Regions from separate parts of the Mus musculus genome. Here region 2 is reported to be linked to region 1. The links are microRNA targets in miRTarBase. Many come from high-throughput screens and were not tested one by one. Region 1 holds a microRNA gene; the other region holds the end of a gene's coding sequence.
Evidence for each region. The annotated mature microRNA mmu-miR-340-3p reads UCCGUCUCAGUUACUUUAUAGC and lies in region 1 at 1,260-1,281, shown strand. An mRNA with a match to its seed (bases 2 to 7 or 8) in the 3' UTR can be bound and repressed. Matches are read on the target gene's strand: a 7mer-m8 pairs with bases 2 to 8, a 7mer-A1 pairs with bases 2 to 7 and ends in A, and an 8mer does both.

Region 1 (5,000 bases):
CAACTGCCCGTATCCCCCCTTCCAGGGGGTCTGTGACTCCTGGTCTCCACAGGCAACTATAACTTGCATGCACAAAGCTACACACATAAACACATAATTGAAATTAACAGTGTTTTTAAAAAGGTGTGAGTTCTTGGCATCCAGTTCCTACCTACAGTTTGCTGCCATTCTTCCCCACCATGATGGAACTATAAGCCAAACAAGCCCCTCCTTGTATACGTTATGTTGGCTATGATGTTTAACCACAGCAGTAGAAAAGGAACACATAGCTGCATGATTGTTGAACTCCAAAGCCATGTCTTGGTGTTTCAGAACACAGGCATAGGGGTGATCTGGTCACATTCTTTGTATCTGTTTAATGTTTCCATTACTTCAGTCTAATTAACCCCTCTCTCCTACCAGCTACTGCTACTCTAATCCTAGTTTTATCCTGAGGGTTAAGTTTCCTCTGTTGTCATCATCCCTCCTGAATCTGCACCAACTCTCCCAAGAGTTTTTTGTTTTGTTTTTAAGGTTTATTTACTTTTTTATTGTGTGTGTGTGTGTGTGTGTGTGTGTGTGTATACCTGCATGAGTCTATGTGCACCATGTGTACAGAGCCCTCGAAGGCCAGAAGAGAGTGTCTGTTCCCTCTAGAATTGGAGTTACAGTAGTTATGAGCTGCCATATTGATGCTGGGAACCAAACCTCGTCCTCTGCAAGATCAACCAGTGCTCTTAGCCATCTCTTTAGTCCCATCCCCATTTGTAAATGTCTGAGCCATCTTGTTAGGCTCTTTGAACCCAGCCCAGCTCTAGATGTTGGGGAGAAAGAAACTTTTTTCCTAGGAGGGTTTGTAGTTTGCTTCATCACCTTCTGTAAGAGATCACTGCCTTCACTAATATCAGATGTGCTGCTGTACTTTTTTATTTGATCATTTTCAGTCTCCTTTGGCAACATTGCCCAGTCTCCTCTTTTTGCTAGGATGATAAAGCTACAGTGAGATCTATTCACTCTTGTCCTCCTAACAGTGAATATTGACAAGTGTTGAACTAATTAAATTTTTCTTTCCCAAACAGCTTCCTGTTGAGATTAGTTGACGCGCCCATTTAGTGTTCGGTTAAGGAAATTACTGGATTGGTTGCCTTGGCTACCTGTGCAGCTCTCCCCACTTCCAGCTTGAGTCTTCAAGAGGGAGCCTCAGAACTGATTTCTAAAACCAATTGTACTTGGTGTGATTATAAAGCAATGAGACTGATTGTCATATGTCGTTTGTGGGATCCGTCTCAGTTACTTTATAGCCATACCTGGTATCTTAACACCACAGATCATGCCTGTTGATCAACATTGTAAAAGCACAAACTTAAGGTTTCTAAATGGAAATTTAAACTGGTTTAGCATTCTTTTATGATTCTTTTTAACTCACTCACCAGAGGCAGATGTTAACTTAATAATGCTAGTTTTAATTTTGTTGTCTCCTTTTTGTTTATAGATTTTTTAAGCAAAAATAAACTGGTAAACTACTACTCTAATAAAGTGAATAAACCGTTTTGAATACAGTATTATGCAAATATATATTCCATTGAGCTATATTTTTTTCAAAACTTCTGTTACTGAGTTTCTGTTGTGTCTCATCTTGACTGCTAAAGGTAACAAGAAATCAAAACAAGTGTTTCTAATATTTGTTGACAGAGCCTTCAAAAGGTCAGGTCTGGGGTCTCTGCTTGCTGTTTTGAGAGGGTATTTTGTGTTTGGATGCACAATCCTCCTTCATACTCACAAAAGTGACCTTGGTGAGTAGCTGCTCACTCTGACTTAAAACAGGCCCTTGAAGCCATGTGAGAAAAGGACTTGAAAACACAACTGAACCATCCTTGTAATTAACTTATAAAAGTTGTGCCTGTGGGCAGAACTCTGAACAGCTTTTAGGAACTGAAGGTTTTAGGTATCATTATGGGTAGTAGTCCAGAAAGTTGAAACTTGGGCCTGCCTAGAGGATTTGAGTGCGCTGGGCATGGTTAAACAAGGTGGAAAACTAACATAAAACTCAAGTCTGAGGCTAGCCGAGGCAATGTGAGATGCTGGCTCCAAACTGGGTGGGAAAATTGTTGCGTTTGAGCTCCAGAAGTGCCCTGGAAGGAGCTTTACTGTAGACAGAAGACCAAAGTTAGTTTCAAAGGTTGTTGGTAAAAGATGTTGCCGTTCGGCACTTGTCACTCCATAGCCAAGTGTGTGCCCTAAGAAGTACCCTTCTTTCTGTTTCTTAGAGCAGTCCTTGCTCAGCAGTGCGTGTGAGGATGAGTAGTGCAAGGACCACCTGTTCAGACTGTAAATGACAGTGCTTCTCTGTCAGAACTTTCCAGATTGATTGCTATAGAAAGGTTTTCTACTGAAGACTTAACCTGATTTAGTCACAGGTGGCTGCTTTCACAGTGCTTCTAATGCACCGGTAAGGCAGTTTGTGCATTGTTAACACCACAGTTGCTTTATGCGTTACCTGTTTGGAGCACTGTACATGTTCTCATGCCTGTCAGTTTACACAGCTGCAGCCTCATGTCAGTTGAACTGGAATCTATAAACCTTAGTGAAAATTATGGTAATTTCTCTATGGAGCATATGTGTATATTTATTTGATGTGTCTATGAATTTCAGATGTCACTTTAGTCTGTGTATTTGTTTTACATTACAGGCACGGGAGATATTATTGCTGTCATGATAACAGAATTGAGGGGTAAGGATATTTTGAGTTATCTGGAGAAAAACATCTCTGTACAAATGACAATAGCTGTTGGAACTCGAATGCCGCCAAAGAACTTCAGCCGTGGCTCTCTAGTCTTCGTGTCAATCTCCTTTATTGTTTTGATGATTATTTCTTCAGCGTGGCTCATATTCTACTTCATTCAGAAGATCAGGTACACAAATGCTCGGGACAGGAACCAGGTGAGCTAACCAGTACTCTAGCCAGCCGTAATCCATGAGGATCTTGTGATAATACTTGTTTATGTCATATATTTAAAAACAAGACCAACAACAACAAGATAAAAACATGCCAAGTATGGTGCTGTACCCTGTAATACCTGCACTCGGGGTTTTGAGGCCAGTTGGACTACGCAGGCGTTCCAGGCCATATTCTATCTCAGTTTTAAAAAGAAAAAGAAATGAAAGAAAATGTTGTTCTACATAATCACACTGTAACTATCAAAGTCAGTAAATGAATGTCCTTTCAGTACATTTCCTGACCTATCGGCTCTCTCAGGTTCTCCAGAACTGCTTAGAAGTATCCTTAAGGGCAACAAAAACCCCAGATTAGTTAGGCCAGAATGTGTGTTACATTTAGTTGTGCTGTCTCTTTACTGCTTCCTGATACTGGCATCTCAGAAGAGCACAGGTCTGTGTCCTGTGTCTTGTGGTTTCGGTCAAGGTTGTTTGCATTTTGTCAGCATCACCAGCTCCTTTTAGTATTAGGGTAGTGGTAACCTTGCTCTTATTTATTGAAGCAATAGAGATCCATTTCCCAAGTGGTTGCATCTTGCCCAACAGTAGTGAATATCACAGCACAGATCCATGGCTGTACTGGGCCCACTGATGTCTTTAGAGCTGTCCTGTTTAATATGTGCTCATGGACATGTGTGCTTCTGTTCAACTCCATTACATGCAGATTCATGTACTCAGCACAAAAGCTGTAGGACAGGTTTGTTTGTTTGTTTGTTTTTTGGTAAGGAAAGGGTCCAATATTCTCTCATAGCCAGAGACTCTCCCTTCCCCTAACCGTTCAGCACCACTAACTTAATCTTCATCTAGTGCCATTTCAAGAGTGTTGAATAGACAGAGTGTACTTCACCTGGAGAGCTGTGTTTCTTCTTTGTTCAGCAGAGTTCCCTTGAAGTCCTTCCAAGCTGTACACATAAGTAATTTTCTTTTTATTGCTGAGTACTATTCCACGGTATGGATGTACTATAATTTACTTAGCTATTCACTTATTGAAGGATAGCTGAATAATTTTCAGCTAGGGAGTCTAATAAATTAGCTATGATGTTCATGTACTGGTTTTTGTCTGACCATGAGTTTTCATTTTCCTAGAATAAAAGTATAATACTGAATAAATAAATGTTTAATTCAGGTTTGTTGTTGTTGTTGCTGTTTTTAAAGTGTGCCCTTTTCCAGTGTGTGGCTGTTCCAGTTTCTCCACATCTTGACATGATTTGATAGAATAACACTTCTTTTGTGATTATAGTGTGCATTTCTCCCATTGTCACCTATATGAGCATCTGTGTGTGTGTGTGTGTATGTGTGTGTGTGTGTGTGTGTGTGTGTGTGTGTGTATTATGTCCACTGCACCCAAGTTTGTGGGTACAGAAATGTAGTTTCATGTCTTCATACTTGTATAGCAGGCACCATGCTGACAGCCATCTCCCTACCCTGAGCATATTTTCAAGTGCTTCAGTGAAATGTCTTGAGTCTCTTCCCTGTTTTCTTCCTGAATTCTTTGTCTTTTACTGTTGAGGATTTTAAATCCTTGTCTCTGTGCACCACTTGCATACAGTCACCTTGGAAAATAGGGAGAGTGTTAGATATCCTGGGGCTGGAGATACAGGCAGTTGTGAACCACCGTATGGATGCTAGGAATTGAACCCAGGTTCTCTGGAAGAGCAGCCAGTGCTCTTAACCACTCCTTACCATTGAGTTTTTAGACTCTTTATGTATTTAGATATGATATTTGCTATGTCTGATAATGTGCTTTAAAATATTTTCTTCCCAGTTTGTCTATTCAGTCACTTTAATAGTCTTGAAAAACAAATTGTTAAGGATTTTCTAATTTTGGTAAAGTTTAATATGAATTTTTCCTTGAAACTGTATGTTTGGTATCAATTGTAAAAAAGCTCTTTATCACACAAAGATTTTCTTTAAATGTTTAAAGCATTACATTTTAGATCAAGTCAACAGGTCATTTGACTGAAGTGGTTTCTCTTGTAATGCACACATTTTGTGCTATACATTTCTCTCTGCACTGTTTTAGCTCT
Region 2 (5,000 bases), not on the chromosome of region 1:
TCATTGATCAACTTTTAAACAATGAAAAAAATAAATGAATGGGATTGGGTCTGGAGAAATGGCTCAGTGGTTACAGACATTTGCTGCTCCCCAGAGTTTGGTTCTCAGCATACACATCAAGTGGTTCACACTGTATCTCCAGTTCCTTCTTTAGTTGTTGTGGTTTTTTCGAGACAGGGTTTCTCTGTATAGCCCTGGCTGTCCTGGAACTCACTCTGTAGACTAGGCTGGCTTCAAACTCAGAAATCTGCCTGCCTCTGCCTCTCAAGTGCTGGGATTAAAGGAGTGTGCCACCACCGCCCGGCTTCCAGGAGAAGTTTTATAAAACATGACATTAAGTGGATAAACATAAATGGACACAAATGTTTCATTTTACATTTTCCCCTTTTCTCATCAGAGTATTACTTTCTATAGTTATCACTTTGGCCAATAGTATAAAAAGTGTGGCACTAAGGGCCTTAGCATAATAATGCAGCATAGTGAGGATGCCCTCTTCTAGTTTCCTCAAGCATCTTCATGGCATACTCTAAAACACACACACACACGCACACACACACATACACACACACACGTGAACACAGAGACACATTAAAAAAAACTTAAAAATGTATAGGCCAGATATGTGGCGCAACCCTCTCTCTGAAGAGAATCCCAGCACTCTCAAGAGGCAGAGACAGTTCTGTGAGCTTGAGGCTAGCCTGGCCTGCATAGCTAGCTCCAGGACAGCCAGGGGGCTACATAGAGATTCTGTCTTTAAAAAAGAAAAATGGCAAGACTGAGAAGAATGGCTCAGCAGGTAAAGACACCTGGCTGCCAAACTGAACTGCCTAAGTTCTGTTGATTGGACTCACATGGAGAGACCTACATATGGACATTATGGGATGCCTCTCCCCCAATTAAATGAATGTAATATACTTTTTAAAGTTGTATGTTAGCCAGGCAGTGGTGGTGCATGCCTTTAATCCCAGCACTTGGGAGGCAGAGGCAGGCGGATTTCTGAGTTCGAGGCCAGCCTGATCTACAGAGAGTTCCAGGACAGCCAGGGCTATACAGAGAAACAGTATCTTGAAAAAAACAAAACCAAATAAATAAAATTGTGTGTTTGTGTATGAACACACTTGTCAGAGGACAACTTGCAAGAATTGGCTCTAGCATGTGAGTCTTGAACTCAACATGGCTCAAGACAAGATTTTCTGTAGGCCAGGCTGGCCTGAGCACTGGATTCTCTTCCAATGACCTCCCCAGTTCTAGGATTACAGATGTGTACCAGTACGCTCAGTTTATGCAGAACAGGAGATTGAACCCATAACTTGGTGCATGCTAGACAAACACTAGCTACTGTTCTAGTCATGTTAGATTATCTTTTTTCAACTATTTTAGGGGTGGAGAAATGGCTCCGTGGTGAAGAGCACTAACACTGGCTGTTGTTCCAGAAGACCCAGGTTCAATTTTCTAACACCCACATGGCAGCTCAACAACTGTAACTCCTCTTTCAGGGGATCTGATTCCCTTATCCATGAAGGAAACACACACACACACACATATATATATATTGCATTGCAGGTATAACTAACTGTACATGTTTGTACCTTGTGTCCAGACCAGAAGAGGCCATGAGATCCCTGGAACCTGAGTTATGGTCATGAGTAGAAGAAATTCAGGTGCAGGAATCCAAACCCAGGAAGAGCATCTATCCAGCCCCTCAACTTTTACCTTAGTTGTATTTATTGTCAATTCTAAGTTTCATAAGCCTTATGATGGTAATATGTACCAAATACCTATAATAGTGCCTAGCAGTCAGCACTAAACAAATGGTTGAATAATTAGATGGCAAATATTTGCAAATCTGCTGGATACAGGGGGCTCAACAGTTACCCAATCCTGGCTTTGCTGAGCCCCATTTCTTATCAGTTTGGTCTTGTAATGGCGTACATACAACAGTAAAAGAGTATGTATGATCTAAGACATAGAATTATAGGGTAACTGGTTGTTTTAAATCTTTTGGTTTTAAAGCAGAGTCTCATGTAGTCCAGGCTGGCCTTGAACTTCTGATTCACCTCCATCATGCTAGGATTACAGCTGGTTTTGATAAACAAGGGTGTCAGATACTAGTAAAGTATCAAAGGAATCCAGGAGTAGTGGTGGTAAAGAGACTGGAATGTCTATAGAGAATCAGCTGCAATGGAAGAGTTAGAGAACAAAGTATGCAGGTTGCCCATAAAGGAACTGAGATGGTGGAAAACCAGTACAAACAACAGTGTATGTAGTGCTTGCCTGTAATGGGGTGAGACAATGGGCAGGTGGCAGGTGTCTTCTTAGAGAAGTAACAGCAATAGAGTGCTGACAGTGGGAAAACTTTCCCATTCACCATGAACAGTTACTATCACCATGAGACACCAGAAGCAAAGTGCCTGTTACCCAAAGTGGCATGGTGGGAGAGTAAAACAGAACTATATGGAAGAATAAGGTGAATCCAACAGATCAGGCCAAGAAAAAAAAAGTATAGACAGAGAGGTAGGCAAGAGCATTCACTGCCTAGGGCCAGGAGAAAGCTCAGGAGGTAGAAGTGGAGACAGGTTGTGATGGGAATTATGCCAAGTTTGGGGACGGGATGAACTATTTCACTGAAGTGGAGAAGGGTCACACTCCTAAATAAGACAGAAAAACTGGTTCCCAGCTATGTTGGAGGCAGAAGTCAATGAAGGAAAAACTCCAGGATAGCCAACCAGGTTGGTGTTCCCAACTGTTTGGCACTCTCAGCTAAAACAATGAAGCACAGCTGCTGTGGGCTTGATGGAGCTGTTGATAAGCTTCCTGCTACTACCTGCACTAACCAATTACTCCTTGGCCCCAGCGCCAGCTCTTCTCTGGAAGGTATAAGGTCCAGGTAGCTCCTAGGAGGATATATGGGCAGACTGAAGCAGAAAAGAACACTTTCTTCTCCAGATATCCTTAGTCAAGTATATCCAAAAAAGCTGCAGTATGAGCCAGGTAGTGGTGGTGCATGCCTGTAATCCCAGCACTTGGGAGGCAGAGGCAGGCGGATTTCTGAGTTCGAGGCCAGCACAGCCAGGGCTGTACAGAGAAACCCTGTCTCGAAAAACCAAAAAAAAAAAAAAAAGAAAAAAAGAAAAAGAAAAGAAAAACCTTCAGTATGCCTCATGACATTGATGTTCCTTAGACTGGGTTGTTCAGGGCTCCTCAGCATGAACTTGAAATAACTGTACAGGCAATCCTGGTGCTGTGGGGAACTATGACTGTAAAGGTCAGCTTGGCCTGGCAGTGGTGGCGCACGCCTTCAGTCCCAGCACTTTGAAAGCAGAGGCAGGCAGATCTCTGTGAATTTGAGGCCAGCCTGGTATAGAGAGTGAGTACCAGGCCAGCCAGGGCTAAATAGAGACTGTCTCAAAAGACCAAAAGGATGGCCCAGAGTCTGGCTGCTTCAAACTGGGGAAGGGATCTGCCCAAGGGAGAATGCCCAAAACATGCGAACTTAGCACTTGCAGCCTGATCACTGTTTTTATTGATTGATTGACTGATTGTATGTGTGTATACTGTCACTCCCTTCAGACCCACCATTACAGATGGTTGTGAGCCACCATGTGGTTGCTGGGAATTGAACTCAGGACCCCTGGAAGAGCAGTCAGTGCTCTTAAGAGCTGAGCCGTCTCTCCAGCCCCCACCTGATCACTGTTAAGTGTATTCTTCATAGTGGATGGAGGCAGCTAGTAGTGATCATGGAGAAGACAGAGTTTGAACCCAGTTCAAGTCACTTAAATCATATTGACCCAGGTACTGGTCTGCATAACTTCACTGGTACCTCATGTCTGTTATGCAGAGTATATAAAAGATATCAATTCCCAGTTTTCTCTGCCCAGAAAGCTTATAGCTGGAGTAGCCCATTGGGGTACTTATTTGAACCAGAGAACTCTAGACATACTTCTTCCTTCCTTGGAGACAGCCAGGATGGCTACATCTGGGTAATTATCCTTTTATTGGGATTTAGGTTCCAAACAAGGTACAAAGCAGCGGTGAGAGGGTCTTGAGGTTGCTGGGTAATAGGGAAGGCCAGGCTTGGCTACATGGACCACTGCCTGAGGCCAAATGGAAACCAGGATTGGAAAGGATCTGAGGAGGGAGGACTGGGGCTTAGGGGAATGCACGGAGATCAGCGAATGGTATATCGGACATAAGGGACCTCGACGTCCTCGCCGCTTTCATCGTTGCAGCACAGCTCAAGCACCAGTGCCCGCACATGGCGGCCCAGCTTTCTCTTTGACACTCGGCTCACAATCTCTGTCATCCTAGGGAAAGGGGTGAGGGTAAGGGAAGAGGGCCAAGGAGGCAAAGCAAGAGGAAGGGGAGGTAGGTGAGGGCGGGGGAGGTGATGGGTAGGAGTGAAAGCTTCAAAAGCTGAGGCTCCCCACCCAACACAGGGCCCTTCCCAGCCTGCCTGGCAATAGCCTACTCACGGCTGATCCAATCGTTCCTTGAGCTTAGCAGCTGGCATGAAGAAAGAATAGAGCATGGACACGCCCTGGGACAGCATGGTGATCTCCAATTTGTGCTCTGTCTGGAAGGCAGGAGAGGGAATCAGCAGTGTTAGATGGCAGGAGGGCCAAAAAGTAATTTATCCATCTTGTCCTCCAGGTAAGGGGAGAGGGAGACAGGCCTTACCTTAAAGTAATCAAGGAACTGCTTGAGGGTCATCTCCTCACCATTAGGCTGCAGCCCTTGTACTTCAAAGCGATCCCACAATGTCCACTCTTGATTATAGTACTGCAATAAGAAAGAGAATAGGATGTGGTCCATTCCAGAAGTCCCTGCCCTCCCTGCCTTCCCTGCCCTGATGCATTCAGACCCAGTTAAGTTAGATCATAACCTTTTTTGTTCAAAGCCTTCTCATGGCTCCCATGTCACTGAGTAAACACTGAACCTTTACAATGACAGGTCGTATGCCACAAGGAAAACCCCATTCTCATCTTCTACCCACTATCTTC

Region 2: miRTarBase lists Uba1 as a target of mmu-miR-340-3p. Seed matches in the 3' UTR shown: 7mer-m8 at 3,665-3,671.

What each region holds. Positions count from the first base shown.
Region 1 is chr11:50,068,503-50,073,502 of GRCm38, forward strand. Mir340 (microRNA 340) reads left to right here and starts at 1,200; the gene lies at 1,200-1,297. It overlaps Rnf130 (ring finger protein 130), which reads left to right. Exons shown (of 9, transcript NM_021540.4): 3 at 2,669-2,919.
Region 2 is chrX:20,681,682-20,686,681 of GRCm38, reverse strand. It overlaps Uba1 (ubiquitin-like modifier activating enzyme 1), which reads right to left. Exons shown (of 26, transcript NM_001136085.2): 24 at 4,678-4,779; 25 at 4,473-4,573; 26 at 3,503-4,304. The coding sequence ends at 4,169. Among named protein-coding and RNA genes, the nearest start is that of Cdk16, 4.2 kb to the left of the region's middle.